Lonchura striata: one gene and its partners. The protein of the gene in region 3 interacts with the protein of the main gene of each other region in a pairwise test. Links are inferred from orthologs where the notes say so. Each region holds a gene or a part of one and is shown on either strand. Other genes may lie near its edges.

The links.
Region 1: the proteins of FHL2 (region 3) and ZNF131 interact in binary tests that used the Homo sapiens proteins (3 or more experiments, as listed by UniProt). The two-hybrid records come from large-scale screens. The link is inferred for Lonchura striata from reciprocal best matches to the Homo sapiens genes FHL2 and ZNF131.
Region 2: the proteins of FHL2 (region 3) and RAI2 interact in binary tests that used the Homo sapiens proteins (3 or more experiments, as listed by UniProt). The two-hybrid records come from large-scale screens. The link is inferred for Lonchura striata from reciprocal best matches to the Homo sapiens genes FHL2 and RAI2.

Annotation. Positions count from the first base shown.
Region 1 is NC_134642.1:35,167,746-35,174,901, forward strand, and holds the start of ZNF131 (zinc finger protein 131), read right to left. Parts: upstream 3,040-7,156; 5' UTR 2,920-3,039; intron 1-2,919. UniProt on the Homo sapiens protein: Plays a role during development and organogenesis as well as in the function of the adult central nervous system. May be involved in transcriptional regulation as a repressor of ESR1/ER-alpha signaling.
Region 2 is NC_134604.1:101,279,670-101,286,721, reverse strand, and holds the start of RAI2 (retinoic acid-induced protein 2), read right to left. Parts: upstream 3,040-7,052; 5' UTR 2,918-3,039; intron 2,877-2,917; exon of another isoform or gene 2,861-2,876; intron 2,356-2,860; exon of another isoform or gene 2,337-2,355; intron 1-2,336.
Region 3 is NC_134604.1:89,246,611-89,254,291, forward strand, and holds the start of FHL2 (four and a half LIM domains protein 2), read right to left. Parts: upstream 3,085-7,681; 5' UTR 3,001-3,084; intron 1-3,000. UniProt on the Homo sapiens protein: May function as a molecular transmitter linking various signaling pathways to transcriptional regulation. Negatively regulates the transcriptional repressor E4F1 and may function in cell growth.

The sequences.
Region 1 (7,156 bases), on a different chromosome or scaffold from region 3:
AAAAAAAGAATTATGGAGTTCCTGTTTACACCACAAAACACACTCCTTTTTGTCTCTCAGAAAAAAGTCACCCATGAAGAAGCTGTTTTGCCAAGACAAAAATTCTCTTTCAAGAGAATTGAAATAAGTAGAGCAGAAGCAACTACTTAGGGAAATCCAGCCCTACCTGCTACTGCTACATTGTCAATCACAGAAACGCTGTCTGCGAAAGTCGGATTCGTTACCTGGTGTGCAATGAGCCAAGAACTACACACTTGAGGTGACATTGATTATTTATTTTAGAGTTGTGCAGGCCTGGGTGCCCGGGAGAATTCCACAATCAAGTACCCACTATAAAAGCTTTTTACTAATTATTATACATTTTACCAAGCAAAAGGATTAGTGTTCATTGGTTACAAGTAACATAGTTCCCTAATTAATTAGTATTTTCTCTTCTACTGGTTAATGATTTTCTTGCTTCCTGTGCTAATTAGTCCACATGCTCAGTCTCTCTCTTCTTTTGGATCAGGTTTCTTGGGTGGGTCGTTGCAATCTCCCTCAGTAAGAATTACCTGCTACCCAGCTGGAGCCAATTCCAACACAATTGCTAAGTTTGCTTAATCAGTTTCTTCCTTATTTTGGGGTTTCTGCTACACGTCCCTGTGGCCTCTAAATTCTAGATTCTCTGTGTCCACTATCAGTGGTACACCCATTTTCCCAGGCTTTTGTTAGCCTGCCCTTAGGTCTGAGATCACTGAAGTATGTCTTTGTAAGCTTAAGAAGGCAATTTTACCCAAAAGTAATTTGTTTTTCTAACACCCGGACATTATGTCGGCTGCTCTCTATATCAGGGATTAAATCTCCTTTCTTGTTGAAGAGGCTTGACAGTACACAAAGATCAAACATCAAAGCAAATCCTTCCTTGAGACAATTCTACATATTCTGTATTTTGCACTAGAAACAACTGTGAGGGTCTTCAAGTGGGCAGAGGAAGAGGAGGTGGAAGGGAATAGATGCTGTTGCTGCATTCTCTTCACTTCATCTGTAATGATGGGTCTGAGACAACCAGAAGTTCCTGCCTTTCTTTTGCCATCTAGTATTTCACTTAAAGTCACATGTGGGAATTAAACTCATGTGGATTAAACGTCACAGTTTAATTTTTGACACATTACAATAGGGTAGATGACTTGCAATAAAAAACATAATTCCTAAAAAGAAAAATTTGATCTCCAGCTCTCATGATTTTCATCTCCCATGGTTTTTGCTTTACTTCCAAACTGACTGTAGGGATATCTTAAAAAGAAACACCCCAAACCTCAAAATAATAAAGCAACCTTAGCCTAGCAAATACAAGATACTTTAAAAAGTTTTTTCTTAAAATTGTTACAAAACCTAATAAGAAACATAGTTTCTGTTAGGCAGTTCATTATAAAAATGTGAATGTACTATGTATCTAAATGCAGTTGCATCGACCATTTTAAAAACCTCGGTCATACTGAAGAAAAAGGCCTTACAAAACAGCACATGTTCAGTAAGAGCGTGACTGCTTAGAAGGAAGGAGTGAAAAGTACAACTGGGAAAACAAAGCGGCCAAGGAGGACGGACAGAAGAGATCCAAATTCCCACTTATGAGTGGGCTCACAGACGTGCGGCAGAGAGTGGACTGCTTCAGTTGTCTTTGCCATTTCCTTGAAAGACTCATCGAAACAGTGCCTTAGTCTTATGAGCCTGTAACTCTGGATACATTTCATGAGATGTGCATATGATTCGCCTTAGTCTTATGAGCCTGTAACTCTGGACTCTGGATACATTTCATGAGATGTGCATATGATTCGCCTTAGTCTTATGAGCCTGTAACTCTGGACTCTGGATACATTTCATGAGATGTGCATATGATTCGCCTTAGTCTTATGAGCCTGTAACTCTGGACTCTGGATACATTTCATGAGATGTGCATATGATTCGCCTTAGTCTTATGAGCCTGTAACTCTGGATACATTTCATGAGATGTGCATATGATTCGCCTTAGTCTTATGAGCCTGTAACTCTGGATACATTTCATGTGATGTGCATATGATTCGCCGAGCTAGTTTTACAAATCCGCCTCAATGAAACATGTTATTCGTATTATTCTCCTGGGCTACACCAGGAGCTCTTCGGATTCCGGGCAGGAGATGTTTTGTTTCCCGCACAGGGATCCCACAGACGCAGGCGGGGCAGTGCTGGGGCAGCTCGGGTGAGCCGGAGGAGCCGATGCGGCGTGCCCACAGCACCGCCATCTTGGGAAGCGGGGAGCCGTGGCCTGGGCATTGCAGAAGCAGGAGTTCTTCATGCACACTGCCGCACGATCTCCTCAAAACCAGCGCTCAGGCCATCCCGATCCCGCCCCTCAGCCCCGCAGCGCGGACGCGGGATCGGTGCCGCTCCCGCCGGGACCGTGGGCACAGCGGCCGCCAGGCGGCGCCCCCACCCCCGGCCGCCCCACCCCGGGGCTCCCGCCACCCGCGCGCGCCGCCCGCGGGCTGCGGCCCGCGCGCCCCGCAGCCTCATTGGCGGCCGCCGGTGTCAGTCAGCGCGACCTCCGCCAATAGCGAAGCGCGGGCAGCGCCCGCCCCGGACGCAGAAGCCAATGAGCGGCCGCGGAGCGCCCCGAGCGGGCGAAGGCGGAAGGCCTGGCCCGCGCCCAGGGCTCGCCGCGCTCGGGGGATCCGGGCGCGGTGCGGGCGGCGCTGGCAGCCACGGGGGTCCCGCGGGGCGCCCGGAGAGGGGACCTGGCCACTGCCGCCCCGAGCCCGGCGCGCGGCAGCGCCGCCGCCTCGTTAGTCCTTATTACGTCATCAAAGCGCGCATTAAATCGATCCCTTTTCAATTCCCGGCCGGGTCGCGGCCCGACGACGCGGCACTCCGAGGGGTGGGGAGGCGGTTCCGCCGGGTACTCACCGGGAGCAGCTTCTCGCCGCGCCGCTTCCCGCTCCACCGCCGCCGCTTCCTGCTGCCCGGCACGCTGGAAAGCGGGGCGCGCGCCGGCCAATCCCGACTCGCATTCCCGGCCTGCCCCGCGCTCACCTTCCACGCGACAGGGCGCGCGTGCGGCGGGGGAGGGGCCCTGCGGCCCGGGGCATGCTGGGAGTTGTAGTCCATTTGTGCAGTGTGGCGGGTTCAGCGTGACAGAACTGGAGGTAATCTGTGTAATCTCTCTGGGTAATCTGTTCCAGTCACCTGTGCTGTGAAGTTCTTCCCCATGTTCAGGGGGAAGTTCCTGTGCATCAGTTCCTGCCCATTGCCTCTTGTCCGGGCTCAGCACCCCCGAGCAGAGCCCGGTCCCTGCTCTGACCTTCCCTGCAAGCACTGACAGACAGGGATCAGGTCCCCTCTCAGTTGTCTCTTCTCGAGGCTCAACAGGCTCAGCTCTCTCAGCCTGTCCTCATAAGAGAGATACTCCAGTCCCTGGATCATCTTTGTTCAACTCTGTTCCTCTTGCAGATGAGGAGTACCTGTGTCTCCCCTTCTAGATGCATTTTACAGTTGCATCGCAGTACATTCCTTAGTCTGGCATATCAGAACATTTTGGAAGACAAGTGTTAGGGCCACACACCCCCTCACAAGCAGGACTCATACCCACAGGATCCCCTTCATCCTGTGTTCTCTTGACTGTCACACAGCCACTCTTCCATGCAGTTCCATAACACCGTGTTACTTTATAATTCAGACTGAGCTGTACCCAAAATGGGTATCATGAAGCAGTGTCAAAAGCTGGAAAGTCTAAAGTGCAATACTGCCCAGCAAGTCTCACTCTGTGGTGCTCAGCTGTGCCTCTCCAGCTCCTGGTCCCTGCAGCTGAGGAAGGAAAGGCCCAGGCAGCAGCTTGCAGATCCCAAGATCTCCTGGGCTATTTGGCCGAGGCACCTTACTGAGACAGCAAGTGCATGGTACGGGCTGCAACCAGCCCTTCTGCCATCCTGCCTGAGCACTGACAACACCAAACTTGGGTTTCTTTTCTACACTGGAATCTTCAGGGGACCCCTAGTCATCCAGGTTTCATGTCCTGCCACAAGATGAAAATGTACTCATCCAAATATAATAATTTAATTTGTAAGAACAGACAGCCTCTATGCTGAAGCTGACAAGAGAAGAGCAGCCTCATGCTGTGTCTCTAATGAGCTTGCCCATGTTCATTCCTGAAAATTGACTTGTTTATGAACTCCATCCCTTTCCCATGGTGCTTATTGCTTAATGGCCTTGTTAACATAACAGTGCTGTTGATCTTGTCAGTAGGTCTGCTCAGACAGTTATTTGCATTCTAGGAGTTGCCTGCCACACCCATTCTTGTTTTCTGGTACACAACAGTACATAGGCAATGTTGATGCCTCCTGCATTTAAAAATATATGAATGTTTGTTCTAAAGTAGAGGAAAGCTAATTTTTAGTAGAAGAACTATATCTCCAATAGTTTATAATCCAAATAGAAATATTGCTAAAGATATCACTGTAGTAGAGTACAAAACAAGAATTAAATTTTTCCATTCCAGCACCTTCTACCTGTCCAGTGTTGGTGGCTTGCTTGGTTTAGATTAAGGTATGGTTTGTTCTGACCATTTACTTTTTTTCTCACAGCATTTTCCACTGTATTTTTTTTCCTATGGGTTCCTCCATCTAGTTTTACTGTGAGGTTAGGCTGAAGGTTTTAAATGAACAGTTTATACTTGGTCCTAATAGCTTTTCAAGTATAAAATTACATGGACTAAACCATAACTCTTATGTTCTCCTTTTCCTCTCTCAGAGATGGTTGTGTCATTTCCCACCACTACCTCCAAGACTTCCAAGAGGTATGTTAAAAAACAATACAATTTAGTTTTAGTAAGTCTGGAAACTACCTGGTTTATAGTGCATTTTATTTACATAAGGAAGAATATGTTAAGCAAACATCTAAAGATCTTTATCAATATCTCTAGTTCAACCTGTATTAGCCATTTATATGCCTAAAAATTACCTATGTTTTTTTCCTTTTTCAGAATCACCTCAATGACACTAAAAAATCCTGTATTAATTAAAATAACATGGTACATCTTCTGGATATAACATTCAGCTGAGTTTGGGAAAATTACTGAAGTGTAGGTGTTCTCTTCTAGCTCCAGCCTCTCACAGCAGCACTGAACAGGGCTGAGAGCATCTGTCCAGGCCGATCCTCGTGAGTCTCTCCCAGGGGGAGCTGTGATGTACCAAACATCCAAAAATGAGTACTAAACTAATAGTAGAAAATTGTGACTCATATATTTCCCTTCTTTAATAAATGAAACACCTCTTTGTCTGAGGAAATGTAGGAATTATTAAGCTGGAGATGTGAAATCAAGAATTCAGGAGGCCTGCTTGTGTGCAGCGTTGAGTATATAACTATTGTTCAAAAGGGACCATTAGCTCATCTAGTGCAAGGCCATCCACCTGGCAGCCTCTGACCTACATCCAGCCTGCTGGACAGTTCTGACTGGATCCCAAAATGGTTTTGAAATCTCCTTAGTGCACTCATAGCACACCCAGATCTCCCACATCAAAACCAAATTATTCACCAGGCAGAATACAGGTAGCTGCAATGTGGGCTGTTCTAGTCTCTTCTATTGGAAAAATTCTTACGAAATCAACTTCTCATTCTTATAGTGTTATCAATCATTTGCAAGAAATCTCTGTATCAGACGAGTCAGTACATCTCCCATGCACAGAGACTTGTTCTGTGCATAAGAAGGCTTTACTGTCATGCCTAGAGCAAGCCAGATGTGTGCTGTTATGCAAGAGGAAAATATTTATGTGGGGCCCCTTTGATAGGTATGCTGAGGGCAATAATATCAGTGCGTGTTTTAAAAGTTTTAAAGGAAAATAAACATGGATTGTGCTTCTCACAGAGATCTGTTCTGTTAATTTTTCTTATTTCTTTATTATTTCCAGACTGAAGGAAATATATAAGGAGTTAAGAAGTCAAAATAGCTTTGTAGTCAATAAAGTCAAAATAAAATAAATAAAATCAAAATGGAATGCTTGAAAACTGTAATGTGTAGAATTGTAGATTGATGTAAAAAAAATTTAAATCTTAGTCCTATGACACAAACGTGTTAACCTCTTCCTTCATTATCTTTCTATTTTCAGAGGAAATGTCCAGCTAGGACAGGATGTACATTTACATCTATTCAGTAGTATTTGCTAACATAAAAGCTCCGTGCCAAGTCTTATCTACTGTTTACAAGTTTCATATTTTTGTGACCCCAGAAAGAGCAGCTGACTAGTGAAGTCAGGGAGATCAGTGTCTGTTGAACATTGCAAGCAATGGTATTGAATTATAGTTCTTATCTAAATATTTTCTTTTATATAATTATAAATATCTGGAGGAAGAAGCAAGTCCAGCAACTCATTGTCCCTCAGTTTCATAAACTGTAGTGATTTGGATTCTGCAGGATTACAAGAAGCATGCCTAAAGAAATAAGTATTTAGCTATTTTTCCTTTTGATCCCATAATATAGAATCATACATATAAATATAAAATGGGTTGAGTTGGAATATCATTTCCCAGTATAAATTCAGCAGACTTTGTCTAGGTCAGTACCATCTGGAAGCCTCTTAAAGAAATACTCTGTTCAAAAGTGATCTGTGTTTATTGTTAAAATACACATGCACTGGGCAATTTTTTGCATGGGTATACATTGTGCATCATGAGTAGAAATAACATACACAGACATTATTATTACAGATTTCATATATTTTTTTAGTGCCTCTTCAGATGTGACCCAAATGTTTCATAGACAAATATTTAACCTCATTTGCAAAAGCATTTTTGTTTTGTGGAGATTTTTGATAATCAACAGTGGACACAGCACATCAGGACATGAAATGTAGTGGTTTTTCTCAAGCTCTTTCACAACCCATGAAAATCTACAGAGTCTGAGAGGAGTTAAATTTAAATTATAAGAAGTTTTGACCTAGCCCACAACTGTACTTCCATGTATTATGTATACAGAACATTAACAGATAATTTTAGATTATCCTCTTTCAGGTCAGGTAATCATCCTACAAAAATGTAGACCTGTGAATCATATTATTGCTGTGTGAAATTATGTTTGGCTGATATGGGCATAAAATATTCACTGGAAACTTTATTCCAGAACCTGGAGACAATCGGAGTCATTCCACATGCA
Region 2 (7,052 bases), about 12 Mb from region 3:
GCCATGTGTCATTTAACAAGGTCTGGGCTTAATTAGGATCGTTCTGGATTTTATGGGAAAAGCTTTGTCCTGGCAGCTTTACATAGCTAGTCTATCACTTGTAAGGTTATCTGCTTTTTTTTTTCCTTTAGTACCTACATCAAAATACTTTTCCACACAGCTTTTCCTTTTTTTTTCCATCCTCCAACCAGCCGGATGACAACCACTCCTTATCTTTGGCTGTCTTCCATGCTAAAATAAGAATGCCGTTGTTACGCCGAGGGAGCTGCACCCTTCCACCTCCGTTCCCTCCTGACCAGCACGCAGCTGGCTGTGCCGGAATGCCCGAGGTTCCATTTTCTGATCATTTTTCTGTGACATTGTTGCAATTTACCCTTTAGCCATAATTTCTATTTCTAAATCACGCCAGGCCTCTCGTGCCACGCGTTTTGTAGCCTCAAGTGACAGTGCGTGTCCTGAAGAGCTGGTGATCCTCAGCCCATCCCCACTGCCACTCGCTTCCCTGGCCTGACTTAGGCTCGCCGACACAAGGGCAAGCACGCAGCCAGACACAGCTCGAAGGGCGCCGGGTGATTCCACCAGCAGCAGAGAATGACTGGATTAGAAGAGGAGCAGGATTAGAGATTGATGAGTTGCTGTGAGGCTGCTATGTCTGTATGATTGGCTCCAGCAGCAGTATTTGAATGTCAAACTGTGTCCCCGCGGAGCAGAGGTAGCACCTACACTGGGTTTCAGACTGCTGTGTGCAAGGCAGCTGGTGGCAAGTAAGGGGTTTGAGTTGGGGTCTGAACAGACAGCCCTGTACAGATGAGACCTTGGCAGGTCAGGCAGAGATGAGGAAAGAGGGAAACATGGAATGATTTGCCCACAGCTACACTGGCAGCTTGAGTCAGAGGCAGAAACGGGAGCCAGATTAAAAAAAAAAAATTAGTTCCTCATGCAGGAGATGAGCCAGCAGCCTTTGTTACATCTAAATGCATTTTTTCCCCTGTAATTCATACTGCTGCAGGCTCTGCACAGTGAACTCAGCATCCTGAAGTTGTAGGGTGCTCAGTGTGACCTGCTGATTGCACACGCCAAGCTCACTACACGACCAGCTCCATGCTCCAGCTCATGCCTACAATGCAATCCGTGCATGTTGCAAAAGCACTTGCTTTTTTTTTTTTGTTCGGAAGTGACCAGGACCCTGCAAAACCCATCACTGAGTTGATTTCCAGCCTGACCCAGATAGCTCTGGCTGCTGGATCGCCTCCAGAATTTAGTGTATACACAGAAACTTAGCAGCACTCTCCAGTCGACTCAAAGAGTTATCCCCTCTTCAAATTTGGCTTCAATCATCTCTGAAGGTGAAAGAGACTTAAGCTTCCCCTATTGGAGCTCCTCACAGATATACTATAGAATTCATCAAAGATGCCAAGGACAAAATAGTGAGGATGCATTAATTGATCAGGTTTCTCTAGCAGAGTGGTGCAGGAAACCATCCTGCCTATCAGCAGCCTCCTCTGCTAGTTACTGTGTTACATCTGATTAACCGGGGCCACTCACAGCGTCATGAAATGGAAGGAAAGGCTTTTCAAATTTACATATTAAAAAGACGGAGGTGTGCTGATTTCTGTCCTACGGAGTGTTTCAGACATAACATTAGTAATCAGTAGCGTATTTGTGAGGAAATCTTTACTTTGAATGCCAAGCCGATTTGCTAATGATGAATGACATGAAAGGTTACTTAGGAAAAAAGAAAAACATTTCCTCATCAAGTTTAAACGGAAAATACCTGAAGAATTAATGGGCAACCAGATACTCTTTCTTCTTTAACAATACACCCCCATTAGACAATATATATACTTTGAATCCCGCATTTTAATAATTTTTCTCTTTAGAAAAATAATTCTGACGGAGAACGTGCAAGAAAACTACCATCAACAGCGGTAAATAAACCGAAGCCGAACCAATCTCTCAAAAAAGAGGTTTGTTGGGGATTGCATGAGAAAAGGAGAATAACTGCCCTGCAACTCCTGCCCAGGGTGCTTGCACCCCGCAGCATCCCCCCGGAGGGATGCAGAACTTCTGGAGCACGACACTTCAACCCTGGCATTCACCGCCACGTACGCCCGGACCGCTGCGACGCCGGCGCAGATGACCCACGCCCCGCGACAGCCTCGTCCAGAAAAAGCCATTAAGGGAGCCGCAGGTGACAGTCCATCCCTCCTAGCAGACTTCGCCAGGAAGCCGGGCGACAGCGGGAGGAATTTCTGCCCTAACTTCGGAAGGGTAAATTCTCCTCCCGCTTCTCGCCTGTGACCGGCTACGCGAGGGACCCCAAATCATCCCATTACCGCCCATCTTGAAATCCATCCTGCAGAAATCCATTGCAGTCTCCTTTCCCGGAGCGCGGACCGGGCGCGGAACGCCGCCGCGGCCCCGCCGTGTGCGCCCCGCCGCCCGGGGCAGGAGCCGCGGGGGGCGATGCCCGGCCGCCACACGCGCCGCTCCTCCCGCGCACCCACGGCCGGGATTTCGGAGAAGTTGCGCAGGCAGCGGGAGGAGGAGGAAGGGCGGGGGTGGGGTGGGTGGCTCTGCTCGAGCGGGCACGGTCTCGCCCCGTCCCTTTCCCCGCCGCGGTCCCTCCGCGGCCCCCCACCGCCGCCGCAGCCCCACGGCCGGGACAACCCGCACAAAGCCGCCGCCGCCGCCACCGGGATCTCGCTGCGCCCGCTCGGCGCCACCAGAAACAATAGTCACGGGCCGAAGCGGGGACCGCGGGGCCGCCGCCCTCCCCACGGTACCGCAGCGCCCGGCCGCCGGTGGGAAGGAGGCTTGGGGGGGTGGAATTCCCGCAAAACGCCGCCGCCCGGCCAACCTGTCACCGCTCCACCCGCCCTGGGCTGTCGGTGCGCATCCGCTGCGCGGCACCTACCTCCGGTGGAGGGTGCGGCAGCCCCTAGCTGGGCTCCATGGGGCCGCAGCCGCCGCCCGCTCTGTCAAGCGCGGCCGCCGCCGCCGGGGACGCGCCGCCCTGCCCTGCCCGGTACCGCGTCCCGCTCCCCCCGCGCCGGGCGGGCCGGGGCGGGGCGAGCGCCGGGGGCGGGGCCGCCCAACCTGCGCCACGCCCGGCAGCGCCGCCCCCGCGCCCGCCGCGCCGCGGGCAGCCGCGGGAGCGCCGGGGTCCCGCGGAGCCGCGGCGGCGCGGGCGCTCGGGAGGATGCCGCAGCAGGCAGCGTCATCATCCTTCATAAATCTCGTGGGGGTTTTTGCGCCCTGCTTGCTTGAAGTTTTGACCTTGTCTCCTCTGCGTTTATCTCGGATTTACCACGATTCTGACTTCCTGTTTATTCCCCTTCCACCTCGTTGCCCTTTTTAATTTCTCCTCCCGCGCCCCCCCCCTCCCCACCCCCGATCTTTTCCATCCTCGCTTTCCCTTGTCCCCGTTTTCCCATCAGACTCTGAATATCCCATGCCTCTTGACCTCAGTCTCTGGGCTTCAAAACGCTTTTGTCAAGGGCAAAATAGTTTTTTGTAGGTTTCAAATCGCTATTAAGTGTCGCCAGCAGCTTATTGGAAGGTGCAGTGCATTAAACTAAATCCATGGCTAGTATTACATAATATACCCTCGAATGTACGTAAAAGATGATTGTAATTCCATCTGGATTTCTGTTGATATTAGCAAACCGCTCAAGATTTCCTCTTGTGGTTTAATGGGCTTTTCAAAACCTTTGACTGGTGCTGGATCAATCAGATTATGATTTAAGAAAGGGTAAAGCACACACACTCACGACATCGTAGGAATTAGTGAAAGAAGAAAAAAAAAACTTAGTAGGTCATCTGCCTAATCCATCTTCCAAAAGAGAGTAGGAATGTCCCCCATACAATAATTTATGGGCATTTGTCTAGTTTTCTTTCAAATGCTCCAAATATGTGGCTTCCTCATTGCCCATAGGAATTTAGGTCAAGCTGCCTGAGAAGGAATTTTGTAGCATCTTGGGATTTAAAATCCACTACTGTTATTCCAAGGTGGGTTTTTGTTTGTTGTTTTGGTTTGGTTTGGGTTTTTTTTCCCAGACAGCACAACTGTACAGTTGCAGTTGGTCATTTATTTCTTGCCCATCATCATGGAAGGATTTTGGCCATCACTTTCCTTAGGTTGAGAGCCCAGGAACATGCACAGCTGAGAAAATGTCAGCTTCATGCTCAGTGTGGCCAAAAGAGTGACTCAAATGTCAGGACTTGTTAGGAGAGCAACGAAGAGGAAAAGATTTTACACTAGAAAATGTGTGCTGGACCTGTGCGCTCAATACTGCAGGAATTCCCGTCTCACCTTCTCAAAAAGAACATAGCAGAGCTGTAAAAGATTTGGAGGAGGCCAGCAGTGATAATCCATGGCTTGAAAGGGTTTTCAGTTAGGTACATGTACATGGGCAAGAGGTACGAGAGGGGAGATGTGATAGAGGTTCCTCAAAGCTTGAGCAGCATGGAGAGGGTGAGCAGGGACTGGTGGTCCTGGCTTCCAGCACAAAAGGGAAAGGCTATTAACAGGACCACCTGACTGTACAGAGGTGATTCTTTGTGCAAACACAGCTGTGGAGCCCTTTGCTATCTGACAGCAGGCAGTTGGTGTCATTCTGAGGGGGAAATTAATTAATTAACAGGAGAGAAATCCAAGAGAGCAACCAAATCACAGCTTGCTCAGAAAGGTCCCTCCATGACAAATGGCTCATGGCTGGGCTTGCTCTTTTGCCCTTTCCCCTTGGTGTATGTTGGTAGTCACTGATCACCTCACAGCAGTGAATACACCTCTCAGATTTAATGTTACAGCTGTGTTAATTCTGTGCTGCCCACAGGTTTCCTAATGCCCTTACTGCATAGATTTGAGTAGTAAAAGGGATGAGTGGCTTTCAGTGGGAGAATGTCACTGGTGTACCAACATGTGGCATATCATGGAAGTTAGAATCATCAAAACCCTCTTAAAAAAACATCATTATGCATTGAGTCACCAAAGAGAGCGAGCACTGGTTGCAAAGAAGTTTCTGTCACTCTTCTAAAATGTGACAGAAATAATCAAATCTAGCTGTGGCCTGGGGACAGTAACCTTAATTTAAAATCAATCAAAAATCCCTCTCTCAATGGCAGCTGATTGTCCCAGACTGATGCCCTCCCAGGCCTGCCATTGTCAGTGCTGTTACACAAGTGGGTAAGCATTGTGTTGTCTCCTTGTCTTCCCTCCTCCTCCATGTCTTTGAAGCTGAGACAGCATGGTCTCAAGCATCTCTGTGTTTCTGGCAGAAGAATTTTTTCTGTGCATTAATTTATAAATCTGTACATGTATGTCTCAGTATGGCTGTTTTATCCATGCAGCTTCTCCAGAAATTTGCCAGTACAATATTGTATCTTGGTACAAAAAACTAGCTCTGGTGAGGTGGGTTGCCACACAGGAGGCAAACTACAGCAAGAATGAAAATGAAGGAGCCTAAACTATGTATGTGAATGACCTTGGTCAAGTGACTCACAGTCGTAGTCTTTTATGGGACTGATCCCATAGACTGTTTCCACATTGTATTCAGGTAGATCAGGATAATCATCATCTGCCTGTGAGGTTGCTCCACCTCCACCTAAATCTCAGCACAAATTCACATATGCGGCACTCTTCAGCTCCCATATAAACTGTGTTCTGAAGTTGGGTGTCTAAGGTAACCCTGTAGAGAGGATCTGCATCAACCTGGTGTATTGTCTGTGCTGATAAACGTGACATCTTTCCTTTTGCCAAGCATGTAAAGCAATCAGCAGTGTCAGTCATCTCAGCCTATCACTTGATCACTCTTTGATCCCAGAATAGTACAATACAGTAGCAAAATTAATACTGCCAGGTGTGATTACTAACGTAGCAATCCAGGATGCGTTGCAAGCTTTAAATTCTGCATAAGCAGCCACACTGCAAATGCTGGGTGGGGAAAACTGACAGATGAGTTTACACAGTCTGTTGGGAGCATTCAAAGCCCAGCAAGAGTGCTCATTGCACCTAAAATGGGGGTTCTGAGCAGATGCAAGTTTCATAGTGACAGAAGTAATTTTCAGGGTTTCCTCTAATAATATATAGGCAGTAGTAAGCCTGTGGCAAGTCCAAATTGAGTACTGAGCAGCTTTTAAATTGTTTAAGGTATTATCTATTATAAGGAAGTTTATAAAGCTCCATCTCCATTATTTGAGTTTTCACAAGGTCATAATCCACTTGACCCTTGTGGTTTATTTCATCACTATTGTCCCTCAGAGGAATTATAACCTTTACCATTACCACTTGCTAAATATATCACAAGGTTTTAGTGATATTGTCATAAATCACCAAGCTCAGCTTTGTTGCTTGTAATGTGACCATAGTACATACTAGTTTTGATGCACTTATTGTTAGCCTGATCTAGTTGTAGTTCTTTAATTATTTTATAATGGGATGACCATGTGCTAGCAGATATGAATGCATATTTGTTTTCCTTTAACATTTAAAAATTGCCTTTTTCTAAGGTGGTCTGAACTTCAAGTGCAGGCTTTTTAGGCAAAGTTTCTTCAATCAAACATGGAAAATACAAGCTCATGGATATTGAAACCAAGCACAGTGACTTCAACAACAGCATTCTCACAGTTGTTTCTCTTTTCAATTAAATGTGTGAGCATTCATTAGAAATCATATGAAATTTGATCATCATGAAAGCATTTAGTGAGAAAAACAAAGGTATCACACATAGGCAAAGTTCATTACTCTATGTGTTTTTAAAAGGATAAGCTATAGGGAAGCTATAGATAACTGAGAATTTTGGATAACAGTAATGTATATAACTATGCTGCTTTTTACATTTCAATTTGTTTTCTAGCAGAAAGTTGGTCCCATGTCAGCCCCCCAAAAGTCTTAAAGAGAATCTGCCATAGCAAAGATGTGCTACTGAAGCCAATCTTCAGTTGCACTTAAAGATCAGCTTGCATCAGAATAAGTTGGCCTCAAAACTGTTTTGACAAGACATACCTTGTTAAGCAGTAATTGGGATCCAGTCAAGCTGCTTCTGACTCCA
Region 3 (7,681 bases):
TGAATAATAACCCTCTGCTTCTGGTCAGGCTGAAGAATTGTGCATGATCTCTGAATAGTCACCAAACTGCCCATATGGCCCAGGCCATCTATGTTTTAAACAGCCAACCTTTAAGTTATATTCTCCAATCAGCAAACAACCTTAGCACAATTTCAGTGGCAACCTAAGAGATGAGACATTGACTGATGCCACAAGCAGATAAACTTCTGCAGACATGAGTGCCTACCAGTCTGACCCCTTGCACCAAGGTTTTTAAAGAGGTCAGATAAGGATCTGGCCATAAAAATAGTTCTGCAGGCAGAGAGACAGAGCAGTAGAGGATAAGGTGATGGGAAGCATTTTAAACTCTCTAATTCATCCAAATTGCTCTATGTTAAACCAACTCTGCTTGCAAATAGCTGAAGGCAAAAATCTTACCTGTGACTTTATACGCTCTGTTCAGTACAGTTTGTGCCAGGCACAAGGACAAGGTTTGCCAAAGCCTTTCATGAGGGTCTGTCATAAAGGCATTGAATTTTGTAGCAAAAAATACACACTTCCCTCCTCACTTAGCACCATCTTCTATTGAAAATGAACATCACAGAGATATAAGAATAACGCCACATCAAGCCACTACTTGCTGTATCAACTTGGTTTTTCCAGAAGTGATGCCTCAGGCAAGTTTCAAAATTTAAATTTCTGCTATTCTTCACATTTTCCCAAAGCTATCTTTTTTTTCCTAAGCTGTTATAACTCCCTGAGAAATTCAGGTTCTGTGTGATTTCCTCCAGCTTGCCTCCTTCTGACCATGGGACTCACTGAACACCACAGATTCACAGAAAAACAAAGCTGGATCTTCTGCCCCTGGGCAAGATCAGCTGCAGACATACAATTTCTGACACATGTCCTGACAAAATGTTATCTTGTTCTTATTCAACAGCCTTTCTGAACTGTGTCAGCCTTTTCTGCTCATACCTGACTCAGATCTTTAGCTCAATCCATAAAAAAAACTTCATGAGTCCTGCAGTTAATGGAGGCCTCCAGAAGTTGGGCCAGAGGCAGCTCAAGTAGGGGTATGGACAGATGCCTGGACAGGTTAGGTTAGACAGCATTAACACCCTGCTATGTGCATTTCCACAGTGTGCCAGACTGATTTGGAATAAAACCCTTTCAAGGTTTTCCTCTCAACCCCTGTGCTGTGATAAAGGCCAAAGGAGTGAAGAACATCTGGCCAGCTGTGTTGTAGGTACTTAGAGAGAACAACCAGTGGTGGCACCATAGGTGGAGACATGCAGAGATAAGAAAGATTTTTTTTTTTCCATGGAAGCTGGTAGCCATTATCAAAATTCCTCTTCTTGGTACCAGTTATTTTGAAAGTTTAGCATACACACACCACAAGACAATGGGAGTGGTCTAGGACTCATCCTCAATCACCTTACATCTTCACTTCCCTGCTGCTGGCTGCCCATCCCACATTGATTGATTATTGCTGTTATGATTATTGCTATTATTATAAAAACTGCTATTAATGGTAATAAATACAGCACCTAGTTTAAATTGGATTCTATCAGTATTTGTCTTTTTAGTGGAGCAAAGTTCCTACTGAAACTTCTTACTGCCTACAAAATATTATTCTGAACCCTTTCTTCCATCATGCTCACAACACAAACATTCCAAATACTTTAGTTCACCAGTCACTCCTTGGACCTATCAGACATGTCTTTTGTGAAGAGCTCCTCTTTTTTAACAATAGATTGTTGTTTCAAGCAATACTTGGTGAGTCTCCGAGTTTTGCCAGTGGGTCCTGGTATCTTTGGAAAAAAAGGGACATTTATGAGCAATGCTGGTGGGTGGAGGGGTGTACATCAGGCATGTGAAAAGCATACCTTGTGGTTTTAGTGCTGCATGAATTGTAATCACTGGAGGTAGTGAGGTGCATTCCAGTCACTGTGACAAAGATAAAAGGCAAAGATTTGCCTTCCTAATTATTTATGGAAGCCTGGTGTTCAACTATGCAATGCTGTCATGGGTAGATTTCCTTTCAGCAATGCACTGCAACATTAGCTGTCCCTCAAAACATCCGCTCAGTCATTTTTGCATAGATGAATGGTGACATGACAGGAGAGCTATTTGTTGTACAGGTGTGACTGGAGTGTAGGGCACTGGGGAGGGGCTCCCTGTGCTCCCCAGGTACCTCCTGTTATACCTCAGAGACTCTATGAAGCAGGAACATGTATAGCTGCCCAAAAATTAATGTTTCAGCCATCCTGGGTGAAACTCCAGATGGATACAAGTCTTCTCCCTCCTCTCTTCCTTTTGGCTTTTCTCTCTTCCCTCTCTCTTCACTCCAGATTATACTCTGGTCAGTTTTAACATGCCATCTGCCAGGCATCTTTTAGTTAACTATTATCAGATGGCTTAGATAAATACTGCCTTATCCTGGTCTTGGCTGCTCATTCTTACCCATGAACTACTTCTCCTGCTAGGCAGAGATAATTTTTTTTCAAAAATGTGTCTGTTTTTTTGGCTGAGTGAATCACCTCGCCCAAAGCACCACTCAGCTTACTCAAAAGTGTAGGGACATTCTCACTTTTTAAACATCCTCACTATTTTAGACAGTGAGCACTGCTAAAGAAAACAGGACAAAACCTCCCAGATATTAACTATAAAGACTACTTCAGAAAGTGTTGCTCCAAGTCAGCCTTCAAGTGGAAATCATCCCTGGTGGAGCTGGATTCAGAGAGGGAAAAGGGCAAGAGAGCCTGTGATCTGCACATAATTTATACAGTTTTCCCCTTTTGCCACTGAGTGGTTTTCACCCAGCTGTGGCAGCACAGCACTAAAGGAACTACAACTCTGCCTGCTAAAACAAAGCTAATCCATGCACATGCTGGCCTGAGCTGACATGGGCTTGCAGCAGAAGGTTTTAAAGGAGATCTGCTTAAAGCCTGCTAGCAGCTGGAAGGTCATTTGCATGTCAGAGAACACTCTCGATGGAAACAAGCAAGCATAAACACCTACCCTTTACAAGCCTGCTTCCATGCTCAAAGAAACCTGATGCTCAGCCATGTGGAGAAATCATTTCTTTCCTCTCCACAGCATAAAGTTCACTGAAATGGAAAACAGCTCTTACAGCTGAGTACTCCAACTGAAATTATTAAGTATTTTTAATAGCTAGCAAAATGATGCATTTGCTTTATCTGTAACCATATAAATACTCTGTACTAAATACACTAAACCATTTATTGCAAAATTAGTTTGGCTTATAAACATACTATATTAATTTTAATGAAAATGTTTTGGTCTGAAAAAAATATTTAAATATTATTTCCTATCACTTTAGTGGCTTTGTAGAAAGGTGAATGTGATCCTCTATGTTTAAATGGTTTAAAGCACCCAGCTTAAACTGCATTACACAAGAACTTCTGTGTTGCCATTAATAGCCCACGCTTAATTTGAAGTACAGAGGAAAAATAATAATCAAAACCTGAATTTCCAACCATTCTCTAGTTTAAATAAATCTCAATCTCACTTATATTAAAAAATGTGATTTATTTGTTAAGTTAGCAGAATCTTAAAAAAGAGACACTAAAAGCAGAATTTATAAAGCATACTGCTTACCTGAGCTGCCTCGAGGAGCCTCTCTACAACACACGCTTGCACAGGCTCTCCTTTAAAACTGAGTTAATAGGGATTTAATGGGAAAACAGTGCCATACACTTACTTACCAGACTGGCAGCCACAGCTCTCTGCAAGGATGCCCTCCTTCTGCATCCTCATCACTGCTGTCCCTGCTGTCCCTGCAGAAAGTGGTGGCCTCTTTCCCCACATAAGGCTCACCCAGCACCAAAGTTGTACCGAGTGAATGGGAGGAAATGTTTTCTGTTTGCAGGTCAAGGAGGCCACTGTATTTTTAGCACTTGGATCCTTGCCCATCCCACTGCCCCTCTGGGATCAGCTCCCTACCTTGCTTTTTGAGCCCATGATCCAACAGTCCTAGGAAGAGACAAAAGCCTGTTCTCAGCACTGAGAACTCATGGCATGTTTCAGCCAATGGGCATTCACACATGTTTAAATTGTTTTCTGGCCCAGGGTCTTAGACACGTGCTAAGACTTTAGGAATTGATTCCAGGGAAATCAGTTTCATAATTTGGAAGCCACTGCCCAGCAAAACTCAAACACTTGTTGTCCTTTAGCTGTTGACACTAAGCCTGAGGACCCTCAAGTAAAAGTATAGGGTGGTCTGAAAGATGAATCTGGGAGGATGAATCTGAGTTATTCACATTTGGTCACAGCTCTTTTCCTTTCAGACCATAGGCAGGTGGCTCTCCACAGTGAAGTAATGCTCCGAGCAGGAGCTCTAACACCCCCCCCCCCCACCTTTGGGTGTGATTTAACAACCCTCAGGCCTCTGCTGGAGGTTTTAGTGTTTTACTGGAGATTTTTGTCACCCTTCAGTACATTTTATTCTGAAACAAATGAAATCACCTCTATCTATATGCTTCAATGATTTTAAAATATGATTTTATGTTATCTGAATGGTCGGTTAATACAGTGCAAGACTTCATATCCTGGAAAAAAGTCTGCATTCTTCACCAGTCATCAGCCCTGCAATAACTAACTCCCCAGAGCTGTTGAGACCATATTATAGCCACACATCCAGGTGAGGTCTGGCTCTTGCAGCAGGAGGCATCTGCATCTCTCTCTTCTGTAACCCTGTTAAGGCATGGCAGTGTGCCAGCAGGGCCATCCCTGCCAGGTCTGCTGATGGCCAAGTCTGCCCTCACAATTCCTTCTCCTGTATGACAAATAACCCTCTGTTTGCAGTTCTCCTCTACTGCAAACAGATAATTCTTGTTCCATCATATTACGTCTTCTATCAAGGAGAGCAGAAAACCTAAACTTGTGTGAGTTGAGCATGGGTTGCAATGGCCACAACTGTGATGGAGGAGTGCCTGCTTCAGAAGCAGGAGCCAAGCATATCTATCCTAAAAATAAACAACTTTGGGGCCCAGGATTTCAGACATTCATATGTATCACAGAAATGCCTGTTACAGCTCTTCAGCACTTTAGAACTGAAGTTAATAGCTACAGGCACATGGTGGGGAACCAGAGTGTAGATCTGAGATGTATAGAAGGTCACATATGACATTTGTAAATGATGATAGAGAAACTTCACCCACAAAGACAAATGAAAGAACCAGCAGGAGTTACCTGTGTCCCATATCTAACCTGTCAGGCTACATCTGTCTTATTTTGGGCCCACAGATACTGCCTCTTAAGGTGGTAGCTGTAACCTGGGTTATGACAGTAAGCCTGTAACCTAGGATTATGACAGTAATCTGTCATACTCTAGCTGCTTCAGTTTCCCTGCTTTCTGTCCCCAGAATGCAGCCCTGAGCACTCCCAGTGACCACCACATTCCTGAGGAATCAGTCATTTTCCACAATATCAGGCAAATAAAAAGGGATGGTTAAATTGTCACTGATAAAAAAGCAGCAAAGGTGTGATTGTCATTTGTCAACTCAGCCTCATGTGGAGATAAGCCTGAAGGTTAGTTGTACTGCCAGTGCTAATTTCTCCCGGGGTATGCTCCAGATGAAGCTGTACTCTACATCACAATCTCCCTTGCCAATGTGTGAAAAGATGTCTGGGTTAAGCCAGCCCAGGTATTCAGGCTCAGGTAAGCCTCACACCTTCCCCTTGCATGAAGATGTACTACTAGAGAGTGTGCTTGAAAGCTTGTCTGTCTTACAAGCTTAGACTTCTGTCACAGAATGAAAGAATCATCAAGGCTGGAAGGGATCTCCAAGATCAGCTAGTCCAACCATCAACCTAACATCACTATAATCACCCCTAAACCATAGTGCCAAGTGCCTCACCTCCTGTATGGTGTATCTTGATTTCAAAAAGAAAGGAAAACTTTGAGAAACTTTTCCTGAAGCAATTAATTTGCCTTTTTCCAGTCTCCTAAAGCCATTCCTATGCTCACTGACATATTAATGTCCCTTCACAAAGTGGCATTCGTAGGTGGCAAATCTAGCTGGTCTTTTCAATGTATGGTGCGTGTTTCCATGGATAACTCTCCCCATGGCTACACCACTGTCAACAAAACCTACTCCATCTCTCCAAAACTCTCCTCCTGCATGACCCCCCAGATGCCCACCTCTGCTACCACAACACAGGACAGAGCTGGCTCAGATGGGTGAGTACAGCCCTGCCTGGGTCTGTACTGAAGCCACTGAGCCACCTCAAAATACTCTTTAAAAAATCATAATATAACCCAGCTTGTTCTCCTGCTTGGTTCAGCATGTGCTCCCCCCCAAAAAAATGTAGCAGCACAAGTGAGAATGTGGCATTGGAAACTACTAGTGAAAGTGGGAGAGGATCTTCTAGCTGGAGTCACCATAGAAAGAAAATCTGTGGTATCACAGAAAGCTTTCTCCATGGTCAGAAGGTTTCAGGCTGAGTCTCTGTGTTTCCAACCATTTACTTCCAAGACAAAAACTAGTACAGGAGTTAACAGAGGTGGCCAGAGGGCATGGTACATATCTGTGGGTTTTTCCACAAAAAGATCTCGTCTAACACCACAGAGAGCTCACAACTTAGAATATAGAGCAGCATTATTTGGTGTGGGAAGGTGGAGAAACCACTCAAATAAACAGGACAGCTCAACAGAAGCCTTCTGCTACATTTGGGGTGTAAAATGGTCTTTACTTGGCATTTTTTTCTCTTGATAAGAGGGCATGAAATCTGCCTGAGAAATTCAAGTAACAAGAAGAATTCTGTCTAATGATTAAGGGAAATAAAGTACTGGGACCAGTTTGTGCATGGGGACTAGTACTATTTTGAGCACAGTTTGGGAGAGTGCTTGTTCAGTGCCATGGTTTAGGAATGGTTCTCTCCAAATCAGTACCCCCACCAAGACTCTCTCAAACAACTGCTCTCTCTTGGTCCCACTTCCCCTCCTGCTTCCCCGTGTGGTGGGATGGAATGAAGAACTGGAGGCACAAAAGTTGAAGACAACAGCTTGAGGGAAGAAAAATTTACTGAAAACAGCAATGAGATAAGAAAATAAACAGCAATAGTATTAATAACAAAATTATAGAGAGACAATTCACATGCAAAAATGCTCACCTTGGAGACTGTGACAATAAAGAATACCAAAGAAAACAATACAGTCTTTCCTCTTCCCTCATCATTTTAACAGAGGCATATAACAGGAGACATTTTTTAAACAAATGTAAACACAGGGTTATTACAGAGTGTTATGATCTGATTATTGAGTGATGCCTCTACCTCTGTAAATGAACATCAGTTATAACTTTCCAATTTCCATGTTAGCTAATTAATGAATTCCAATACTCTTTATTTATTCCTTTGATATCTCATGCTTTCACACATCAACAATGGAGAGGACCGCATTAAGCTGCGAAGCAGCTTTGTGTGTCTCAGGACTTCTGCCATTCCCTTTCACATCCTGACAAGCTCAGTTTAGGAAAGTGTACCATTTTGGGCCTAGACTATTATTCTACTTGCCATCATGGTCTCTGAACAGCTGGCTATCACTTATTCTTGTGGTTGAGTCCTTCGAAGCCCTACAAAGGGTCAAAAAGTCAAGACCTCTGGTCGCTAAACATGAAACAAAAGATGAGTCCGGAACAGTGAAGATTCTTCCAAAGTGCCTGCAGTCCCATTCAGA